Linked DNA regions of Alligator mississippiensis. The protein of the gene in region 2 interacts with the protein of the main gene of each other region in a biochemical or structural test. Links are inferred from orthologs where the notes say so. Each region holds a gene or a part of one and is shown on either strand. Other genes may lie near its edges.

Region 1 (10,525 bases), on a different chromosome or scaffold from region 2:
GATAAGGCACAGGACAACTATTCAAAGAAAAGAGGGTAGGGTGATATTACTGGCAAGGAGCAGCAGTGTATCTGCCACAGGATGCCTGTGTAATTGTGGGCAAAGCACCTAATCTGTCTGTGTCCCAGTTTCCAGCCTGCAAAAGGAAGATGATAATCCAGCCATTCTCTCACCCTTTCTCTTGTCTACTTGGATTATATATCCTTTGGGGCAGGGACTGTCCCTGTGTTTGTATAATACCTACTAAAGTAGGACCCCAATGTCAATATGAAAGTCTTGGTGACACTGTAATGCATGTTACCACCATTATTTATTATTGTTGTTGTTATTTGCAGGACTGTTGTTGTTAGTGTTAGTAGTAGTAGTAATAGTAGTAGTAGTAGTAGTAGTAGTATTTATTAAGAAGCAGAAAGTATTAAAGGAGAGCTTGAAAGAGGTGAGCAGGTTGAGAGGTGGAGAAGTCAGGATCAGTGATTTCCTCTCCACAGCTACCCCTCTGCCTAATGCCATGATGACACTTTAGTGACTCCCCCCATATATCCTTCTGCCTTCCCTCATGCTAACACCTCAGTGATTCCTCACTGATCTCCTCCTGCCTCCCACAGTGGCAGCACACTAAAGGGAATGAGCTGACTACTTTCTGAACAGACAGGGGCCCAGCAGACATTATACCTTCAACACACTAGCCCTTTCATACATTGAACAAGCCCTTACGGTTAGTGCTCTGACTGAAGGCTGATGATATAAGATCTTCACAGATAAAATAAATGCCACATCCAGTGCCACCTCTGGGGTAAGAAAACAGGACTGAGTTATTGTAATTAAGTGGAGATCTTGTTCAGGGGAAATTTCAGAACATGGAATTTAGCTTGTTGACTCTACTCAGTGGAGTCATCCCTGTGTTTCTACTGCATGATTCGAGCATCTCTCCCATTTGCCCTCCTTACTGTTCCTGGTTCTTCTTTCTTCCTCAGCTCCACCTTCTGTCTCCTTCTCTCCCCATACCTGTGTTACTGTGTAGTCCTTCTCCTCCAGTCTGTCCTTGATTATTCTGATTAAAGGGCCAATGTTATAGAACTCGGCTTCTTCCAGAACCCCTAGAAATAAAGGCACAGAGAGCACAAAAGGCACGTGGATGAGCTGCTGTACTTTCTTATTGGCTTATTTTCTCTGTTTCTCAGTCCCATTTGGCATCTCCAAGAATTCAGATCCATTGACCAGGAACTCCTCGTACATGAAGAGGTTTGGGCTGTTTGGAAACTCCTACACCTGGTATTGAATTCAGACTGCCCTGATTACTGGACCATGGGAAGAGGTAGTGGCCTGAACTGAACCCCAGCTCCCTGGTTACCATTCCTAGATTCATAGATGCTAGGGTTGGAAGGGACCTCAACAAATCATCGAGTCTGACCCCCTGCCCTGGGCAGGAAAGAGTGCTGGGGTCAGATGACCCCAGCCAGTTGCCTATCCAACTCTCTCTTAAAGACCTTCAAGGTACAGAAGAGCACCACCTTCCTTGAAAGCCTGTTCCAAATTCTGGCCACCCTTACCGTGAAGAAGTTCTTCCTGATGTCCAGCTTAAATCTGCTCTCTGTCAGTTTACGACCATTGTTTTTTGTTATCCCAAGAAGCGCCCTGGTGAACAGAGCATCTGCAATCCCTTTCTGCGCCCCCCTAATGAATTTGTAGATGGCCACAAGATCACTTCTCAGCCTTCTTCTGCGGAGGCTGAAGAGATCCAGTTCCCTTAGCCTCTCCTCATGGCACTTGGCCTGCAAACCCTTAAGCGTATGAGTGGCCCACCTCTGTACCCTCTCGAGTTATCCACATCTTTCTTAAAGTACAGCACCCAAAACTGGACGCAGTACTCCAAGTGCGGTCTGACCAACGCCACATAGAGGGGAAGTGTCACCTCTTTGGATCTGTTTGTCATGCATCTTGCTAATGCATAATAAAGTGCAGTTAGCTTTGCTGATGATTTCATCACATTGATGATTCATGTTCATCTTGGAATCCACTAGGACTCCAAGATCCCTTTCTGCTTCTGTGCTGCTGAGAGGGTCATTCCCCAGCCAAGAAGTGTGCTGGATATTTTTACGCCCCAAGTGCAGCTCTCTGCATTTGTCCTTGTACTGCATCCTATTGTGTTCTGCCCACTTTTCCAACCTGTCCAGGTCCACCTGCAATCATTCCCTACCCTCCAGTGTGTTCACTTCACTCCACAATTCAGTATCATCTGCAAACTTGGACAGAGTACACTTCACACCCACATCCAAGTCACCAATGAAGACATTGAAGAGTACAGGTCCAAGGACCGAGCCCTGCAGGCCCCACTGCCTACATGCTTCCAGGTCAATACTGACCCATCCACCACCACACTCTGGGAATACCCCCCTATCCTGGCTGTGATTCCAGAAAGGGGGCACTGTTCAATGAGCTCTGAACCCAGGCCCACTGCTCACTTTCCCAGGGAGAGAAAGGCTCTCATTATGGGGTACACAACCTGCTCCCTCTGATTTACTGACTGAGGAGGTTGATTATAAGCCCCTGGCTACCTTTCTGAGGGCTTCACTTTGGCCCTTGGTTACTGTCCTGAGGGCTTCATTCAGCGGCCACTGAATACACTCTCAGTTTCTCTTCTGCAGAGTTCTATATGCTCAAGAGTGAGACCTGATTTCACTTCTTGTCATTGTCCTAGGACTACAGGAATTTGAGTTTTCCCATCTGGTCCCTGTCCTTCAGTGACCTTTGTCTTGCTGATCTCAGAACTGAATTGTGCTTTACCTCAAAGCAGATCAACAAAGATTTGTGTTTCACTTTAAGCTACTGTGTTTGCATCTGGCCCCTCTCCTGAGACACACGTGATCATGTTGCTAACAGGCCTGTGGGAGAGGGTAGGTGGGGGGCATGGTACCTAATGGGTCCACAAGGGGCAATGATGTCTCAAAAACAACCTTCACAGATTCCCTGGTCAGTATGCAGACATGGCAGGCAAGTGAGATTTGTCTGACCTCACCCTTCCCACTTTAACCCACTCAGAGCTTTTCATCCTCCTACCTTCCTAGTGGAAAAAGTGGAAGGGTGAGAAGGGACTGAGTGACAAAGCAGTCTCAGCCAAACAGGGCTCAAACCCTGTCAGGTTGCATTGGAGAAGGCCACCTGCATCCTATTTGATAATTCAGCAGGGAACTTACTATCCCTTTGACCACAGTGACCTTGTTGCTCCTTTCCCATCTCTTCTGATCCCCAGTAACTGCAACAGCCCATTCAACCAGCGGAGCAGTGATGGGGACACCAGCTTGTTCAAGGGTTGGACTCAAACTGGGCTTCCCTCACCATCCTAGTGGGCACTCCCTCCCAAGCACTTATTCAGTGTATCAAATGAAAACTGACCCATTTTCAAGACAGCAGAATGGAATGAGGTCAGGGAATTAGGGCAAAGAGCATGTAATGTAACCCACTTCCAGCAGCAGGGAGAGGTGTTAAGAAGGAAGTTTGGGGTTTCTAAGACTCACCCTCTTCAGCCATATCTTTATCCAGTACCAGCTTGCCATGACGGAGAAAATTCAGGATAGGTCCAAAGTATGTGGGGTCCCGGTCTATGAGGTAGGCACCAGTCTCATCCTAACCACAGAGACAAGCCAACATAGGAAAAATGTACAAGGGAAACTTGTCCCCATCCCTGACAACACCATGCAATGAACTGTAATAACATAATAATTTTAGTAACAATATATGATATTTCTATGGCTCTTTTGAGTAGTAGTAAAGACATGGCAATGGAGCTGGGTTCAGTTCTCTTGGCTATGCAATCTTGGGACATTTACCACAATCTCTCTGTGCCTCAGCTTCCCTATGAAAGATGAAGATGATGCTACCTCCCTTCTTTAAGAGATTTGAGATGAAGAAAACCATAAGCATTAGGCCTCTTAAATCCTTCCGAATCACATAGGCATACAGTACCATATAGAAAAACAGCCACATCTGAGTGAAGGGCTGCTGGTAAATGCTGCAGACAACAGTGCTACAAATACACAAGCTCAGGTACTTTGGCAAAGTCAGCATCAAAGCCAAGCAGCCCATCAGGCCAACACAGTTAAAGCACTCCAGTTTCTGCAGCCAACAGAGGGACATTATGTTCAGCTGCTTCTGGTTCTCCTGCCTAAACGAACAAGTACATATTTACAGCTGGTTCAACAGGAACAGATTCCAGCACAAGTCCAGCATGAGGCTCAAACACACAGCTTCAGGTTCACAGCAAGATGCCTTAACTACTATGTTATCATACTTTGCTTGGCAAAGCATGCTGGGTCAAAACAGTACCCAGGATTTTTAACTTTCATACAGAGCAAGCGGGACCTTGATTGTAAAGGTCTCACTATCCTAAGCTCAGCCCCGCAGCAAAAGAGACAATACTCTTACTTTTTCTCCCTCTGATAAACTGAAAGGATCTAGGAAACTCCTGCACAGATTTGAGCTGATGGGCTTCCTGACATTTCAGGCCTGAAGCTGCCACCCCTCCAAACTCTCCCTTCTGATTGATAAGGCTTTCTGGGAGCTTTACTACATTTCCCTGTCAGTAACAGCAAGAATCAAAAATAAAAAGTCGGGGACTCTCCACTCAGCATGGCTCCTACCTTGACAGTCGCATGAAGGCAAGGAGGATGGGAAGCTCTTAATTTTGGCTGTACTCGGCAAAGCTATTTCTCCTGTCAGGCTTCAGCTTAAAGTCTGAGCCAAGCAGTGGCTCAAAGCTAGGGCACTTCAGGTGGAGTAGTGACAGCACAAGAAAACAGAGCCTCTCTGGAGTTGCTGGTAGTTCTGGTGCAGAAGACAGGTGTTATGCCACATGTTAAGACAGCTGCATGGCACTAAAAAGAGAAAACCAGGGGATCCAGGGAGGGATGAAGGTCTCTCCATCAAATTACATCTGCCCCTCTGCAGCCGCAGAGATGCTGTGCCCTCCCTGCCATCAGCCTGGCTCCATCCCTTTCTCTCCTATTCCTGCACCGAACCTTTCTCTGCCCGTGTGCTCCTTTCCCTCTCTCCTCTTTTCCTCGTGCCTCCCAGCCCAGCCTGTGCAGAGCTTTGTCTCTCCCTCAGGGGTCCCTTTCTTCCCAGATGGGTACAAGAAGAAGGCAGAACACAACCGCATGCACGCACACACGATGCCAGGCAGAAAGCTACCCCTCAGGGCAGGTGCCAGCCTGATGCTTACCTGGTCCGACTGCAGCTCCTCCCCCTGGCACAAGCGGCACAGGAATGATTTCTGTTCCCGGCACAGGGTCTGCCTCGTGGTTAGGAAGATGGTGCCCCCAACATTCAGCCGTACCCACTTGCCCCTGCTGCTGGTGGCAGGGGGAGGCTGGTGAGTTTCCCAGGCATAAGAAACCCTTTCTGCCCGTTGCATTTCCTCCCTTCCTTCCATCCTCATCTCTCCCTCTCTCTGTCTCTCTCTGTCCCTCCCCTGCTCCTAAGCTAAAGAAACCAAGGCAGGTATTGGACACTGGAGGATTCTGGGACCTGTAGTTCCTGAGGTGGCCTGCACCCCAGAGGTGGCCGCATTTCAGTGGTGCTGTACATACACAGCTTCTTAAATGCTATGGGATCTTTTGGGAAGATAGATGCTGGATGAATGCCGTATCTACTGTTCTTGGTGAATGGCACAAGAAGCAAAAGTGAGATCCACAATCTGAACCACTGCTATCATTCAGAGGGCATTAGGATCACGGTTTTTGCTTACAGCCCTTCTCTAATTTTTATGAGTGTACTTGCTATACAGCACTTTGAAGAGGCAAAGTAATATGTAAAAAACTTTAGCTGTCAGGTGAGTGAGGGTCTCTCTGAAAATGGGCACCTAGGAATTCTGGGAACTGTAGTTTTCCATGTCCCACCATGCCTGCAACCCATGATGGGTGGACTTGGGAGATGCTGAGAAGTGCAGTGTAACACATCCCACTAACCCTGCTGTGGGACACCAAAGGGCTCTAGAAGCTGGCCTCCAGATCTGGGTCACAAATGCAGTGTGCTTTGAATGGAGGAGAAAACTGCTGTGCCCATCTGCCAAATAGTGTTATCCCTTCCAGTGCCTGCAGGACAGTCACCTTTCCTGTTCCTGATTCCCCAAACAGGTATCTGACTGCTATCTCAGTCACTGCAGTGCTGTTGAAGTAGAGAAGTTGGACAATTTCCTTCTCTGAAGTGGGTGGTTTTAAGAGAGGGAAATTAGCCTTCAGCAGCAAAGCCCAAGTTCTTTATATTTCTCTCTGACTCAGAACAGCCATCTATCTACTTGGCAAATTTTCCCTAATCTGCTACCGTTCCAACACCTCTAAATCTGCCTGGCAGAGACTCCTTCGTGGGGGGGAAGGAAAATGAGTCTCCATGTTCACTTAGTCACAGGGCTTTGCTGCTACCACACACACACACACACACACATACTCTCCAGTGTACCTCTGGAATGATGTAGCACCTTCTAAAAGTTTCTACCTCTAGCTCTTCTGAATGCCCCATTCTAGGCAGTGGTTGTGGGAAAGAAAAGACCAGCTTCATCAGCAATTTAGTTGCATGGATTCCAAGACTTAAGCAAAACACGAATGCTTTATCTATCCCACAACCCAGCGTCTACCACACCCTACTAACCAACTACAGCCACGCCTGCCAATCTTTCAAACCGTATTCATATCAGGAAGAAAAATGCTGATTGCTTCCCTCCCTTAGTCTGACACAGTCTATATCTTCTCTTACCTCTTTTCCAAATAGGTTTCTGACCTTTGGTAGTGCAACACACAAAATGCAGCAGCATAGACATTTTAATTTATCATGTCCAAATGTTGCCTTTCCAGTCCAGGCTGTTGCTACACCATGATATGCATGCTCTAGCTTTTGTTCTAATCAAGGATATGCATCTATATATTAATAACAGTGTTTGCAGGAATGGTGCTCAACCTTTTTAAGGCACCTCTTGGAAAATACTGGCTTTTAGTTTTCATTCTTTTTTGAGTATGGGAAAATAATAGAGCCATTTTTCTGTTGCAAATAAATCATATAGACCACAACAGGTCAGAATGTTTTTAACATTATGGATACCTAGTTGAAATCACTGGGTTTATCTTGTGAATCATTCTTGTACACCGAACAGTGCTACCTTTGTGTAGCACCCTACAACACCCTTGAAAGAAACTCACGGTACTCCAGGATGCCATCATTGCCTTAGGCGCTTTTGCTGATGTAATCGGGCACCAAACCCCTTCAAAATCATGTTGCAGTGCTAGATGTTAATATCTGAACAGAAATCACAGGCCTGACTGTGCACCTTCAAGGTGTTTGCAAAATTGGGCTGTGCTTTTCAGGCCAGCAAGTAGTGTATTGGGTGAGCATGGGCAGACTAGCATTACTTTGGGCTATACTGATTGCTCTAGGATAGTCTGTGAGGAAATTAAGGGATTAATAGCAAAGAAATTATGTTCTGGGAAGAAGAGAGAGGGATGGGAGGGGCAGAAAGCAGGAACAGGGAATTGTAGGACTGCTACTGGAGGATTTCCTATGCTTATTAGGCCTGTGTGAGTCAGCAGCAATCTGATCCGGCTTCAGATCTGGCCGCTTCGGATGGCCGCGATCCGATCTGGAACTCCGACTGGGTTCCCGCCTCCATCCAGCCAAAGCATCGGAGCCACCTCGGAGATCTGGCCATAGGGTATAATGGGGAATCAATGAAATATCTATAACTTTGTTGTTTTTTGTCTGATTTGGATGAACCTTGCAGGGATGGTAGCCTCTCCTGAGAGCATGAAACCTGCCACGTTTCAAGAAGATCAGTGCAAGGGTTTGGGAGGAACTGTACCCCAAATTCTTGAAAGCCAAACTCCTGTCATGTCTATGTGTTACAATGGGGTTGGGGGGTGGGGGGGGTGAAAACTGCAGGACTGGTAGCTCGTACTGTGTCCACAAAGCCTGCCAAGTTTCAAGGAGATCGGTGCAGGGGCTTGGTGGGAACTGCACCTCAAGCTGTGGTCAAGCAAAACTCATGCCATGGGTGATACTGTGCGCGCTAAGGCGCAGCGGGGTGACAGCTGCAGGGATGGTGGCCCCTGCTGTGGCCACGACGCCTGCCAGCTGGAGGAGATCGGTGCAGGCAGGTCTGGGGCCCTGCATCCCTAGCTGCTGACAGACAAAACTGTGCCAAGACTGTCTGTGTCTTGGGTTAGTTGATTGTCTGCTTTGATTCTTTCCTCTCCTTAGCCTGGGTTTGTAGGTGCTAATTGATGCTCGTTAAGTCGTTATGTAGTAGCTAGGTCCTGTGTATTGAGCTGGGCCCTGAGGCCCTGGTCCCTGAGAGAATCATGGATTGATTGGTAAGGGGGAACCCAGCAGCTTAGCAGCCAGGCCTGCAGCAGCAGTCTCCCCTCCCTGTCCCAAGACAGACACAGTCAGTCCCACAAGCACCCATGGCACCAGTTTTTCTTGTCTGCAGTTTGAGGGGCAGTTCCCCCCAACCCCCTGCACCGATCTTCTTGAAACTTGGCAGGCTTTGTGGCCTCAGTAAGAGCTACCAGCCCTGCAGTTTTCACCCCCATGTTGTAAGACATAGACGTGACATGAGTTTTGCTTTCAAGAATTTGAGGTACAGTTGCCCCAAAACCCCTGCACTGCTCTTCTTGAAACTTGGAAGGATTCATCCTACCTGCAGAGTCTACCACCCCTAAAAATGTCATCTAAATTGGACAAAAAACAACAAAGTTATAGGTATTTTATTGTTTCCCCATTATACCCTATGGCTGGATTTCCGAGACGGCTCCGAGACAGCTCCAAATCGCTTCGTGAAGCCTAATGAGGCCAGTGCTTCGACCCGGATCTGCCGCTTCAGACCCCGAAGCATCTGAATCTTCTCTGGATCCAAAGCTCTGTCCAAAGCCTCACACAGCCCTAGTGCATATACGCTGTAGCTTGTGGCTACAGGGTGACTACACCGAAAAATTAGGCTTGACTGTCTGGAGTCTGGGGACCCAGGAGTGCTGGGAGTTGACTACTGAGGTTCTGAATGTGTCTGGTTAGGGAGCATTGGCATATATATCTGGGCTTGCCCAAACTATCAGCACATATATATCCAGACATATGATGAGCTCACAATGAAAAGAGCAAGCCAGCAGCACCCTGACTTGCTAAGTGAGCACAGACTCTGGTTATTTTTCTCTTGAGATGACACCAATTCTAACTTGTTGCTTCCCTATAGAGTTGGGACATTAGCTCTTTTAAATGACTTTGAGAAAGGGTGTGAATTAAACAGAGATGCTGATGAGGCTGCATGTGGTACCTGTCCCCTTCACTGTCAGGGAAGGCAGTGGAAGCTTTTGCCAAGTGCCTGAGGAGGTCTGCGGCAATCTTAAACTTTGTAAAATAGCTCTGCTACCAAAGGTGATGCTGACATACAAAACAGAGAGAAACTATAGAGGGAGTGAGCTGAGAAGAGGGGATACAGTTATGCTGGAATGGCTACAAGAAAGAGGTTCCCCCTCTGAAAAGGAGGAAATAGGGGAAAATAGGGGAGAGTTACAATCTTTCAAGAGGCTTCTGAGTGTGGAACAGATCCAGAACCTGCCCCAAGACTGAAAGGATATGTGCATCATAGGGGAATGTGCAGATGGTTCAAAGACAGCCTAAAGAGGAGTGTCCCAGACATGAGATCCAGGTAAAGGGAGAGGAAGGTGCTCTAAACTGAGGGCATGTGGGCATGCCTATGGCAAGTGGGAGAGGCATCCCTCAACTGACTCCTGACATTTTATCGCCTGATGTAACCTCTCCCAGGGACTGGGGCACGAAGGACCCCGAGCCACATGCCCTAGGGTTAGTGCATCATAGCAGCCCGAGCAGAGCAGGTGAGATGCTGCTCTTCAGGTGCAGGTGCTCTGAATGCAAGGCCAGAGCAGGTAAATAATCTGCAATCAGACCCAGGATCAACAAGAGGTACCAGTCAATGTGGTGATATCTGAGGGATGGAAGTACATGAAAGCTGCCCATGCTTGGTCAAACCCTGCATGGTACCCTTCAATAACATCGCTGTCACAGTTCCAAGGTTAACTACATAAATAATCCTTTTATGGCATTCTCAAGAGCAGCTGATTAGATCTTGGGTCTCTGGCTGTCACCTGTTTTTGGAACAGAAAGTTGTATTCCACCTCTTCCAGACCGGAATTTTAAGGTGCAGTCCCCTGAGGTCCAACTATGTTCACCCATGCACTATAATGATGACAGGCTTTTGGTGTGGGAACCAAAGTTACGGAGCATGCTGTATGGGGGGACAACTCAAGACATGGAATGAGACACATATGGGCTGGGGGCCATATAGGCAAAGCTGGTTGTTCATGTGGGTGTGTAGTTTAAGCTACATGTTAAGTAAAGAGTCCAGTATCAATTGAAAATTTCTGGTATCATGTTTGATATATAAGCATTGGATATTACACCCAGGTCAGAACATGGTGCAGCACCTGCAGAGCTGTGTTCCCTCAGAGACGATGATGCAGTGGCC
Region 2 (11,071 bases):
GAAAACCATCAACATTGAGATTTTCTGCACAACATAATATTCGTCATGCAAGGGGACACTCTTTCACTTCCTAAACTTAAAGCAGTATTTACAAAATGTAGCCAATATATAGAATGGACAAGTCAAAGACAGGCATTATCAAGTGACAACAATTATTTGCTACATTTCACATGCTGAGTCAATACTATCTGACTTAGTGCCCAAGCACTGAAAATATAATGGACAAACAAAGTAAGAGATTGTTTAAAAAATTTAATCCATTCAAAACCCTATGCCAAGTTTAGTCTGGGTTTTTTTTTTTGCTTTTGTTGCTGTAAAAATCAGTATCAGTGATAAAAAGATGTATGCATGGATATACATCATGGAAGTTCCATGGCCAAGAAAGCCCATTGTATTATGACATTTTCAAAAATACAAGTCTTCTATACCTGAGAGTCTGTAGATACACAAGATACTTCAAGGCATGACCCTAAATTAACCATCATTACCCCCTGCAAATATATAAAATTTCAAGATCTTAAAGTTATTTCCATCTCTATTCCTAGATTTGAGCAAGTTCAGAATGCAATGCTGAGAAACACAAACACCTTCATATTGGCCATTTTTGGTTCTAAGTTTTAATTTTTTCCCACTGCTTTAGAACTAGCTTCCACTGCTTTGAAGGCAAGTTGAGTAAATAAACACAGGATAAAACCCTCCTTTAACACACTAGTGTGAAGCTGGATGGGTAAACTTATGTCTTTTCTATTATGAATGGAAAGGGCAGATTACCGATCAAGGAATTCTATTCACTGACTACTTCTGACTACCAAGCAATCCACTTCAGCATCTAAATTCCAAGGTACTCAAGGCTACTACTGCTCTTGAAGGAAGAAAAAGCTACCCTAATGCTCTGAACATCAGCACCTGGTTAGTAAGTATCAAAGAATAGTTCTATGGAGTGATGTTTGCCACCAAAAGTCAAGAAAGTAAAAATAAAGAACAGAGAAGAACATTATGTCTACAAAAAAATGAAAGATATCCAAGCAAAGCATTAGTGATTGGGCAATAATGTTAATATAGTTTCCTTAACAGCAAAAATTATTATTTTATACAGGCTGTCCTCAGACTTATGACAGAATTGGTTCCTGAAAACAGGGTCTTAAGTCGAAATGTAACTCGGAACCAATTTTCCCATAGGAAACAATGTTATAAATGGGGGATTGGTTGCTGAGCCAAGGCCCGATACACTATTTTCACCAACAATAATGCAGAATTTTGTACTCAGTCAATTATAGATGAGTAATATAGCTACATTAATGTGTTTATAGTCTAAATAGCAATCATATTGACTTGGAAGGACTTTTTTGAGGCAACTTTGCTACACTTTTTGAAGGGCTCTTGGCTGGAGTCTTCTCAGGAATTTTGGCTCAGCTTTGTCTGCTTTCTTAAAGAAAATGTCCACGGAAGGTCAGACAGATGTTCTCCAGGGAGATGGACAATGCAGCGAGCTTGTTCGCTGGCATGGCCTGACGTCGGATCAAGTGTTGTAAAGTCGAAACTGACGTTAGAAAGTTGAAACAGGGTGTCAATTTATAAACGTTGTAAGTGCGAAATGTTGTAACTTGAAACATTGTAAGTTGAGGACTGCCTGTACCTTTCTTTATCATTCACCCATGTATACTATAGAAAAAAAATACTGAATAAGTTATAGGGCCAGGACTAGCACTAGACCAGTGCTTCCCAAACTTTTCCTCAGTGTGACCCCATTTCCTCAGCATGCCCCCTCACTCCTAGCCTCCAGGCCTCCACAACCCCAGGTGCCCCTCACTCCCCAACCCCCACAGTGCCCCAGGGCCAGGACCCACAGCTCCCTGCCCCCCCAACCCCCAGCAGCCACCCACAGGAGGCGACAGCAGGTGTGGCCAGAGAGAAGTACGAGCCCAGCTGCACCCGCCCCCGCCCCCGCCCCCCCCCCCCCCCCTCCAGGCAGCACTACCCTGTGGAGAGGAGCCGGGGGGTGGGCAGGGATGTGGGCTGCCCATTGTAGGCAGGCTTGGGGCTCCCTGCCCTCTCCCCCCAGGGACCCCGTGGTCCAGTAGGCAGGACAAGGTATGAGAGGGAGTGCTGCACTGCCACAGCTGCCCAGGTGAGGCACCCCTGGCTTATCTGCCAGCAGTGAGGGCAAAACTCCATGCCACTGCAGCTGCTGTGTCTCACCTTGGCGGATATGGTGATGCAGCACTCCCAAAATGGGTCCCGTCCACTGGGCCGCAGAGGAAGCTCCTGCCCACAGCTGGTCCGGCTTGGCTGCACCCCGCATCCCACTGGGCTCAGAAATCTCAGGAGGCACGTTTATTGCCATCCCATCCACTGATGATGTTGCCACCCACGTTCAGGGTTTCAACCTACAGTTTGGGAACTGCTGCACTAGACAGTAACCACACTACTGGTAGTTACCTTTATAAAATTATGTAATAGTAAGCAGGCAGTCTTTCCATTTGAGAAACTTAAATCAAAAAAGCAGGAAAGGAATAAAAAGGAAATGGGAGATGTAATAAAGACACCTAAATGGCAAGCAGAGCACCAACACTGGACATCACAAACAGAGATGCCTCAGAATAAGAGGTGGTAAAAACAGTGAAGATTGGTAGCTTAAGGTAAATGAAGTAAATTCTAAATACAGATACCAATCTTGAAAATACAAATAGTTTTACTTACATGAATAGTCAACTGGATTACTCACATAAGTAAAGTTACACACACACAAATCTTTGCACAAAGTAGTAACTTTAACATTACACAGGTAAGGATAGAAAACCCTCAACAGCAACTATTTGGGTACATATTCTTTTTTTCACTTTCAAGCCCCTTTATCTGATCCAGTTTGGTTTTGGAAATCAAAATCAGTTCTAAATAGTGAGCCTTGAAAAAAGTTCTGTCAAAAGATGTCAGCTTCTACTTTGGAAATGTGCAGGTCCCAATATCTATGTATACTTAATAGAGTTTTTCTTTGGTGGAAGTTAATTTTTGTGAAGAATCTTAATGGAGTCATTCTTCAAATAACTGCAGAGAAGAGAAATTATAACAATGTTCTAACAAGAACCATTCTGAAGGGGAAAATGATGACAATGCTCAATTTTTTGCGAGAACTGATCTGTGTGTGAACATTCTTCACCCACAAGCGCAGCTTTACATGCTCAGTAACAAGAACCGTCAGCTAATGTAAAAAATAGTCTTAGCTTAGTATCATGTCCCGTCCCTATTAGTTTACAATTAGTTACAAGCATTCTGAGATTTTAATAGCTGAACAGAGCAGATTGTTAGGAAACTTGTGTAGTACATTGTCTTTGGCATAGTCTGCTGCAATCTAAGTGTCACATTTTTGCCACTTCTAATTTTTTTTATGATGTATCCCTATGAATTGTTTACAACGGCCATGGCCGCTTGGAATTGCTTTTTTTCACTACAAAACAAGAAATCTGAACAGCATGACTTATTAAGCAAATAATTTCTTTGGTGACCACCAGCCATTCTTCAGCAGAGATACCCAACTTTCTCAGATGCAGTGGTCCCCTTTGACATTTATAGTTGATATAATTATCAATAATTAGAAAGCGAGTCTAAAATAGAGAAGCTAGAGCTGAATCAGACTCCTCAGCAGAACTTCATCAGCCTGCCAATGTAAACAACTCTTTTATTTAATCAGCAAGCCTTAGGGGCGAGTAAATGTTCCTCAGCATGAGACTTGCTGCTGCAGTGAGGTCAACCAGGGAGCTCCAACTTCTGTGTGCAGGCAACACCTAGGGGCCCTTTGCCACTCACCATCTAGGCTAGGGTCACAACCCCTCCCCTAAAGCTTGAAATTCAAGTCAATGGAGTCTCCTCTTTAATGTGTAGGTGCGTGCAGGTACGCACAGGTATACGTACACACAGGCACACGCACAGACGCAGACCCACGGGCACACAGGCACAGGCACATCCGCACAGAGAGGCCTGCGGGCAGGCTGCAGCGCAGCAGCCCCACTCGCTTTAGTGGGCACAACTGTCAGAGCGGCGGAGGGGAGGGCCCAGGCCGGGCGCGGGCCCAGGCCGGGGAGGCCGGTACTGGCACCCACCTCTAGGCCCGGGCAGTCGCGGCCCCTCACCTCCCCCCGGGCAGCCTGGCGGCGGTGCCCCCACACCCGCGGAAAGGGCCGGGCCGGGCCGCGGCGCGAGGGGGGGCCGGTGCCGGCCTCCGGCGGCCGCTCGAGCGCCGTGACAGGTCGCGCCGGGCTCGTAACAGCCGGACCCCGCGGAGGCCGCCGCTCCCCCGACCGGGCCGGGCCGGGCCGGGCCGAGCCGGGCACTCACGGGGAAGGCGCGGATCCGCATCTTGGTGTCCTTCCGGCTGCCCGTCCCCTTGCTCAGGTTCGACATCTTCGGGCGCGGAGCCGCCTGTGGGCGCGGGCGGGTGGGCCCGGGCCGGGCTCCGGCGACCTTCGCTCCGGACTGCGGGCCCTGGCGGAGCGGGGCGGGTGGCGGCGGCGGCGCAGGCCCCTTCCTCCAGCGGCAGCGGCGGCGGCGGCCCCCTCAGCCTCCTCCTCCTCCTCCTCCTCGGCCGCGATGGCGGACAAACATCGCGCAGTGCGCAGGGCCGAGCGCCCCCGCCCGCCAGGCGCGCTCAGATCCGGCCGCGGCGGCGGCAGCAGGCGGAGCGCGGCCGGGGGGAGGGGGCGGGGCCTCCCGCTCTCGCGAGACTTCCGCGGGACTGTCGCGGCCCTCAACTAGGCCCGCGACCCCGGCCGGGGGGTGTCTGGTCTGGCCCGGCCGCTGCGTCGTCAAATCTGGTACTATCGGACCGTGCGGTTTTCACTGTCAATAAAGCCCCAGGTCCGGGAGTCAAGGGAGTGCACCAGCTCCCGGGGTTTCATTGCAAAGAAAAGCAGGAGTCCTAGAAAGTTCAGTTTGTTGGGAGCTGTTTTTTGCGGCGCTGGGAGTTTGTCATGGCCGGGCCTTCCCGGGCAGCAACAGCAGTGGGAAGTCTGCAGAGTGGGGAGGAAGCTAAGGCAGACGTAGTCTTAAACACAGGGTCAAACCCAGTGAAAGGCGAATCAGGCAAAAGCCAATTATAGCTCTATGGAAGATGGGGAAAATAACTGGACAGACATATAGGACCTTTCCTGTTTTTTGCAGGCTAAATTTAGTTCCTCAGAAGTCAGTTATGCCCTGCTAAGGGTGCACATGCACATACCACTGCTGCGGTACCCAAGCAAGCTCAAAATGCACTGGATCTGGTATCGGAAGCACTAAAACCAAATGAGCGCTGTGCTCCACCCAAACTAAATAGGCTTGTGTTGTGCTGCGTAGGAATAGCCTGAGTCATGACACCGATGGGTGTTGTACTCTTTGGGAGACTCATCGAGTTATGTCGCAATATATTTGTTTTCCTTTCTCTTGCTGTTTTCTTTGCTCGTCACAAGAAACGCCTGAGAAATGAGGGCACCACTTGAGGCAACACCTGTGAGTGCATGAGGCTAAATATAGGTCCCTTGAGAATGGGGCAGTTGCTATAATCAGAGAATCATAGAGAAAAGGTGGGAAGGGACCTCCAGCCATCTTCTTGTCCAACCCCCTGCCAGAAGTAGGATCATCTCTATCTAAACCATCCTACTGTCTACCCTTTTAGCAAAACTACAGTCAACCTTGATGCAACCACAAAACATAACACCTGAACCTGCCATCTTTAAACAAGGTGACCACGGCCATCGCTGTCCTTGTTGGAAAAGTTGTTAAAAAAGCTGAAGAGATCCAAGGAAGAGGACCACACCCCCAGCTACAGAGGAAGAAAAAAACCCTCACAGTCCATGTCAATCTGACTTGTGGGTAAAATTTCCCTATGCCAAATTTCAGTCTGACCCTGAGCAGAGGGGCAAGACCCTCTAGCCGGAACCCCCTGTGTGTAAGGCCCATTAGGAGCCTTGGCACACACAAAATGGGGAAGGACAGCTTGTATATATCAGATTTTGTACATTTGGGGAGATAGGGTTGGCCTCATATTTGTGTTTGTCACTCTAAAAACTAGCAGGTGCTTGAAGTTTGGGCCTAAGTGGCTCACTCAGGATCCCACACAAGTGGTATATAGCACAGCTAGGAATAAGAGGCCTACCTAGTGACTTCCAAACTCAATTCTGCCTACTGCAGCATTCTTTCTCCTATGATCTCCAACCATTTTCCTAGTACTGCCCACACAGTGCAATATGTATACTAAGAGCACAGTAATATATGTGTTCATCCTATAACTTTTCTTTACCAAGTAACTTGCTCTTTTGTCTCTTTCAGTTCCAAACCACTACAGTTCCTTGGGATTATGCATGTTCCTATATTTTAAACCTCCTGTTCAGAATTACTTATATACCTAAAGAAGACATTATATAACAACAGCACAACAAGATTAAGACAACAGTCTTAATGATTTCAGCACGACCAGGCAAAACCATCCAGCCGTTCTCAGAATACATAGGAAACAGTCACAAGGTATGACAAGGCAAATGGTAGGAGGGGCAAAGTTTTCCTACTGACTGCCTACATGAAAATAAAAGATCCACATACATTTTGAATTTCCATCTCATTTTGGAGCTTAATAAACAAATGCCACCAAATTAAGGCTCAACAAGGAGTCTTTTGTCTAAAAGGAATACAAAAAGTTTAGAGGGAGATCTTTGCCTTAAACTGCAGGTTGGAGGCGGTTGCTTCTACTAAGAGAAGGCGAGGAACCTTTGAGGCCTGAACTGTAAGGGCACAGTTATTTTCTTTTATTTCCTTTGTTGAATACAGTGAGTGGGCAGAGCAGCCCAAACTTTTATTATAAAATGATTCCAAATAAAGGACTCTGTCTTCTTGAACCTTGAAAGAGGTATGGCTGGAGCTTGCAGTAAATGAACTGGCAAAAGGCACAACCAGCTCACATAGATACAAGAATTTTCTAAGATTTTTCTCATCCCAAACAGAGAGAAAAAGGTCAATCTCACATTTTCATGAATTTTAATAATAATTCAAAGTTGTTTTGATCCATAAGTCAGAGACCTAGTTCACTGAAAAGTTTCATTTCAGTTTTGTTTTGACCTTTTCATAATTTTTATAGTTTTAAAATAAAATAAACTTTGGACTAACCTTATATAATAGTGTGTGTGTGTGTGTGTGTGTGTGTGTGTGTGTGTGTGTGTGTATAAAAAAAATATAAAAAATACTAATATGTAATAGTATATATATGTGTGTGTGTGTGTGTGTGTGTGTGTATAATACTATACAATAATACATATACATACATAATACAGTATACTAATACTATACAATATACTAAGAGCCAGGCGAAGAGCATCAGAAGCTCTAAAAGCTTGGCTCCAGTACAACACATTATTTGCATTTTTAATTAACAATTTCAATGAAATCTCCAAAAACAGTATCTTCTTTTTTTCAAGTTAATTTTTCTATTTGATGACTCAGTACTGCATGGTTGAAGCTAATGGGAAGTATAATTTGAAGGGAGAGGTGGAGGGAGGGGGAAATCAGGCTTTCGGTATCATACCAAAGAGTTCTTAGGTATTAAAGAAACCAGATGCACATTTCTTCCCCCCTCCCCACCAGTTTTGCAACATGTAACATACTGAATTCATTTGTAATAGAACCTTTGCTTGCAGAATTCACAGTTTTTGAATGGCAATAAACTATTGCTCCTAAGAATCATAAAAATTACCTTCTCTATGCTATGTTTCTCCTTACTTTATATGAAAATCAGACACATTTCAATATTTTGTTCCAGAGTAAGAAGGAAAAAATAATATGAAGTGTCTATGAGAGCAAGAAAGAATGACTAACCCCTGCAAACACCCAAATGCTTAAGTTAAGCTGTGGTTAAGAGTTTCAGGAAGTAGGCCCCATTTTATAACTTTCTGCATCTGAAAAAAAATGAACAAAATAGCTGCTTCCTGCATGGTGGGTGAAAAGGAGAGAGGTTCCTTTCCCGTTAAAGTAACATATAAAGATAGAAAAAGCATTTCTTTTTTAACTATATATCTATTTGAATAAGATGCTTTTTTTTAGGTTTTGCATTAATTCCATGTGGTGCATTAAGATTAACACAATAGTGATCGTAGAAACAAATAAATTGTTTTCTCAATCATGACTTTTAAAGTCTATGAAAAGAACCATGTTGATAACAGCACAAAATAAAGCATAACTGAAAAAAATCTAAAGGGGATACAGCAAAATAAGTGTATGCTATATATGTACTGAAGTCAGCTAAACAGAAGTAGACTGGTTTTCAATGTATAATAATTTGGGACCCAATACTGGAGTCCTGATTCAAGCAGATTTGCTCTCAGTGTCACATCTGGAAGAATATGATATGGCCCAATGGAGCAAATGGCACTTTTAAACACTTAAGTCTCCTTGATTGCAAAAGGAGTTCTGGATACGGTGGGCAAGCAAGGTCCAAAAAAAGTAGAATCTTAGGATCATCTGAAAGTAGGACAAGAAGTGCATGGACGTTTGATTCCCTGGGGACAACTAGCGAGGGCACACCTTGTGCCACTAGTTGTTCCTGGGGAATGCCCATGCCACGTGCACTTTGGCATGTGGCAAGTTACCTGGGGTGCTGGTGGCCTCCCAGGGCTGTAGCTGTGTCACTCCTGTGGCACAGCCTGGGTGGCAGTGGCATATGCCTACGCCAGGTAGGCTTCGCTTAGGGCAGCTGATGCTGCTGCCGTGTGCATCACTCCACTTTTTTTCAGTGGGTTTTTTGGATCCCTGGATATACAGGGGTCAAAAAAACCCTCTACGCTGCTCCCTTGCAGTGCAGAGAACAACAGAATGTTCAGTATGTGGTGCCGCAGATGTATCTGCCGTGTTACATAATGCTTGGCCATGCTCATCTGGATGCGGCCCATGAGGTCATCTAGTCCAATCCCGTGCTCAAAGCAGGATCATCCATGACTAAACTATCCCATCCAAGTGTCTGTCCAACCGGCTTTTAAAAACTTCCAAGGATGGAGATTCCACAGTTTCTCTAGGTAGCCTATTCCGGTGCTTGACCATCCTCATATTCAGAAAGTTCCTCCTAATCTCCAACCTAAATTTCCCTTGCTGTGTCTTGAGGTCATTGTTTCTTGTCTTGTCCCCTATGGCCACAGAGGAAAACCCATCTCCATCCTTTCTATCATCACCCTTCAGGTATCTGAAGACTGTTATCAAACCCCTGCCTCAGCCTTCCCTTCTCCAAACCAAATAACACTAGCTTTTTGCCTTTCCTCATAAGTCATGCTTCCAGGTCTCTAGTTATTTTGTTGCTAGCTGTTGGACTCTCTCCAATCTGTCCACATCCTTCCTGAAGTATGGAGCCCAAAAGTGGACACATTACTCTAAACATTCAGAAAAAAATATTTATTAGATTACTACTACATTTCTGTATCTAAAAACAGGACAAGTTCAACTCCTATTGAATGCCTCTGAACGAGTTAGTTGATAAAAGTGTCACCCTGTCCTACCTTCTTCCTAGTCTTCTACTTAGCTGCTATCCCTTGGGAGGTTTTGCTCACCATTTTGCATGTGAATCAACATCGTGTAGATTTAATTGTAACTTCCTTGAACATTGCTTCATAGATTTTAGGGAGGAGTATAATTAGGAGATAATAAAGTCACCTACTTATCTGAGGCGGCTCTAGAATTCTTGATTTATTTTGTTGTTCTTTTCTTCCTAGGTGAAGCTTTTACCTAAAAAGCATCTCACCTAAGCATTTTTCTCCCCCAAATACCTGTTGCCATTTCAATATTCAGCAATCAGTGGCTCTATTTCATGGAGCAGCCATTTTGTCAGAAAATTTCAGAGTAGAACTTTTCAAATAAGCACACAATTTCAATCAACAGAAATGGTAAAAGGCTCTGAGAGTTGTTTTTAGATAGTTGTAGTGTGTAGTGAAAGCAAGCATTGTACCATTATTCCTATGTAAACATTTGCTCTTTTACATTTCTATGGCTTTAATATATATTGGCTGTAATACAAAGGCCTGATGCTTCGGCAAGGTGTTCTGAAAGGAGTTAAAACAGATATGAAGGTGGCGAATAGTCAGGCATACATGGTGCAAACAGGGAGCAGAGAGGATGAGACTTACTGTAGATGATTTCGAGTCATATTCAGATTTATACAGGAACAATACAAATTTGTCCAAGTGTCCAGCTTGGTTGAGGGTCAAGTGCTGTATCTGTATTGCTAAATGAGGTGCTAAATGGATGGCAAATATAAATTTGGTCAAAAAAAGCCTGTAGTTAGAAAGTTGATATACAGAACACTCTTCAGCAGCAACATTCATAGTTTCCATGCTATCAGAGTTAAGCTAACTGCCTGTGTGCAGAACTAATTAGGAGTCAAACGGAAGAGTTATCTTCTTTTTTATTATGCAATGTATGATGTCAATACATACAGAAAATAACCCACATGCTGAAGAGGCACCAGACAGCAGCATCAAAACTTAAATCAGAAAGAAAAAGTGTATTTACAAGAATATACCCACACACTACTATAACATTATTATATATATTTCTGAAACAATGCAGAACTCCAAGCAATTTTTCAAAATTATAATGGTATTATTGACTTACAAAATCACATTTCAGTCTGAGATTATTTTTACCTATTTTATTTTCCTTTTTGCTTTTATTTATCTGCAGTTACTAACTTGACTATGAATGAATGAGGTGAGAGAACATATGTCATTTTAAAAATGTTTTTACTTTGCACATTTGACACCACTGTGTATATTTGGTTTTAGTATTTCCCCATGGAGTCAGTTAGCATTTAATCAGCGGAACTTTTTCATGCATCCATAACTTTATGCAAATGATGCCATTGACTTCAATGGGACCGTTCATGTTTAAAGCTAGATGCTTACCTAAATTGTTCAGGTTTGGAGGGCTTAGGTCCCTGCTGTTTGAACCTATTAATATTTACAAAAAATAAATAAAAATATTCCAAAACCATAATAATTCACAGAGAATTTTCATGTGTATATAACATTAGCTTTTTTTTCCCTTTCAATTGCATAGAGTTCTGGCAGAT

What was found.
Region 1: the proteins of CUL3 (region 2) and KCTD17 form a complex in vitro, tested with the Homo sapiens proteins (3 studies listed by BioGRID). The link is inferred for Alligator mississippiensis from reciprocal best matches to the Homo sapiens genes CUL3 and KCTD17.

The regions. Positions count from the first base shown.
Region 1 is NC_081827.1:100,592,235-100,602,759, forward strand, and holds the start of KCTD17 (BTB/POZ domain-containing protein KCTD17), read right to left. Parts: upstream 5,469-10,525; 5' UTR 5,435-5,468; coding exon 5,219-5,434; intron 3,625-5,218; coding exon 3,516-3,624; intron 1,098-3,515; coding exon 1,006-1,097; intron 1-1,005. UniProt on the Homo sapiens protein: Substrate-adapter for CUL3-RING ubiquitin ligase complexes which mediates the ubiquitination and subsequent proteasomal degradation of TCHP, a protein involved in ciliogenesis down-regulation.
Region 2 is NC_081830.1:51,712,825-51,723,895, forward strand, and holds the start of CUL3 (cullin-3), read right to left. Parts: upstream 4,655-11,071; 5' UTR 4,399-4,654; coding exon 4,333-4,398; intron 1-4,332. UniProt on the Homo sapiens protein: Core component of multiple cullin-RING-based BCR (BTB-CUL3-RBX1) E3 ubiquitin-protein ligase complexes which mediate the ubiquitination and subsequent proteasomal degradation of target proteins.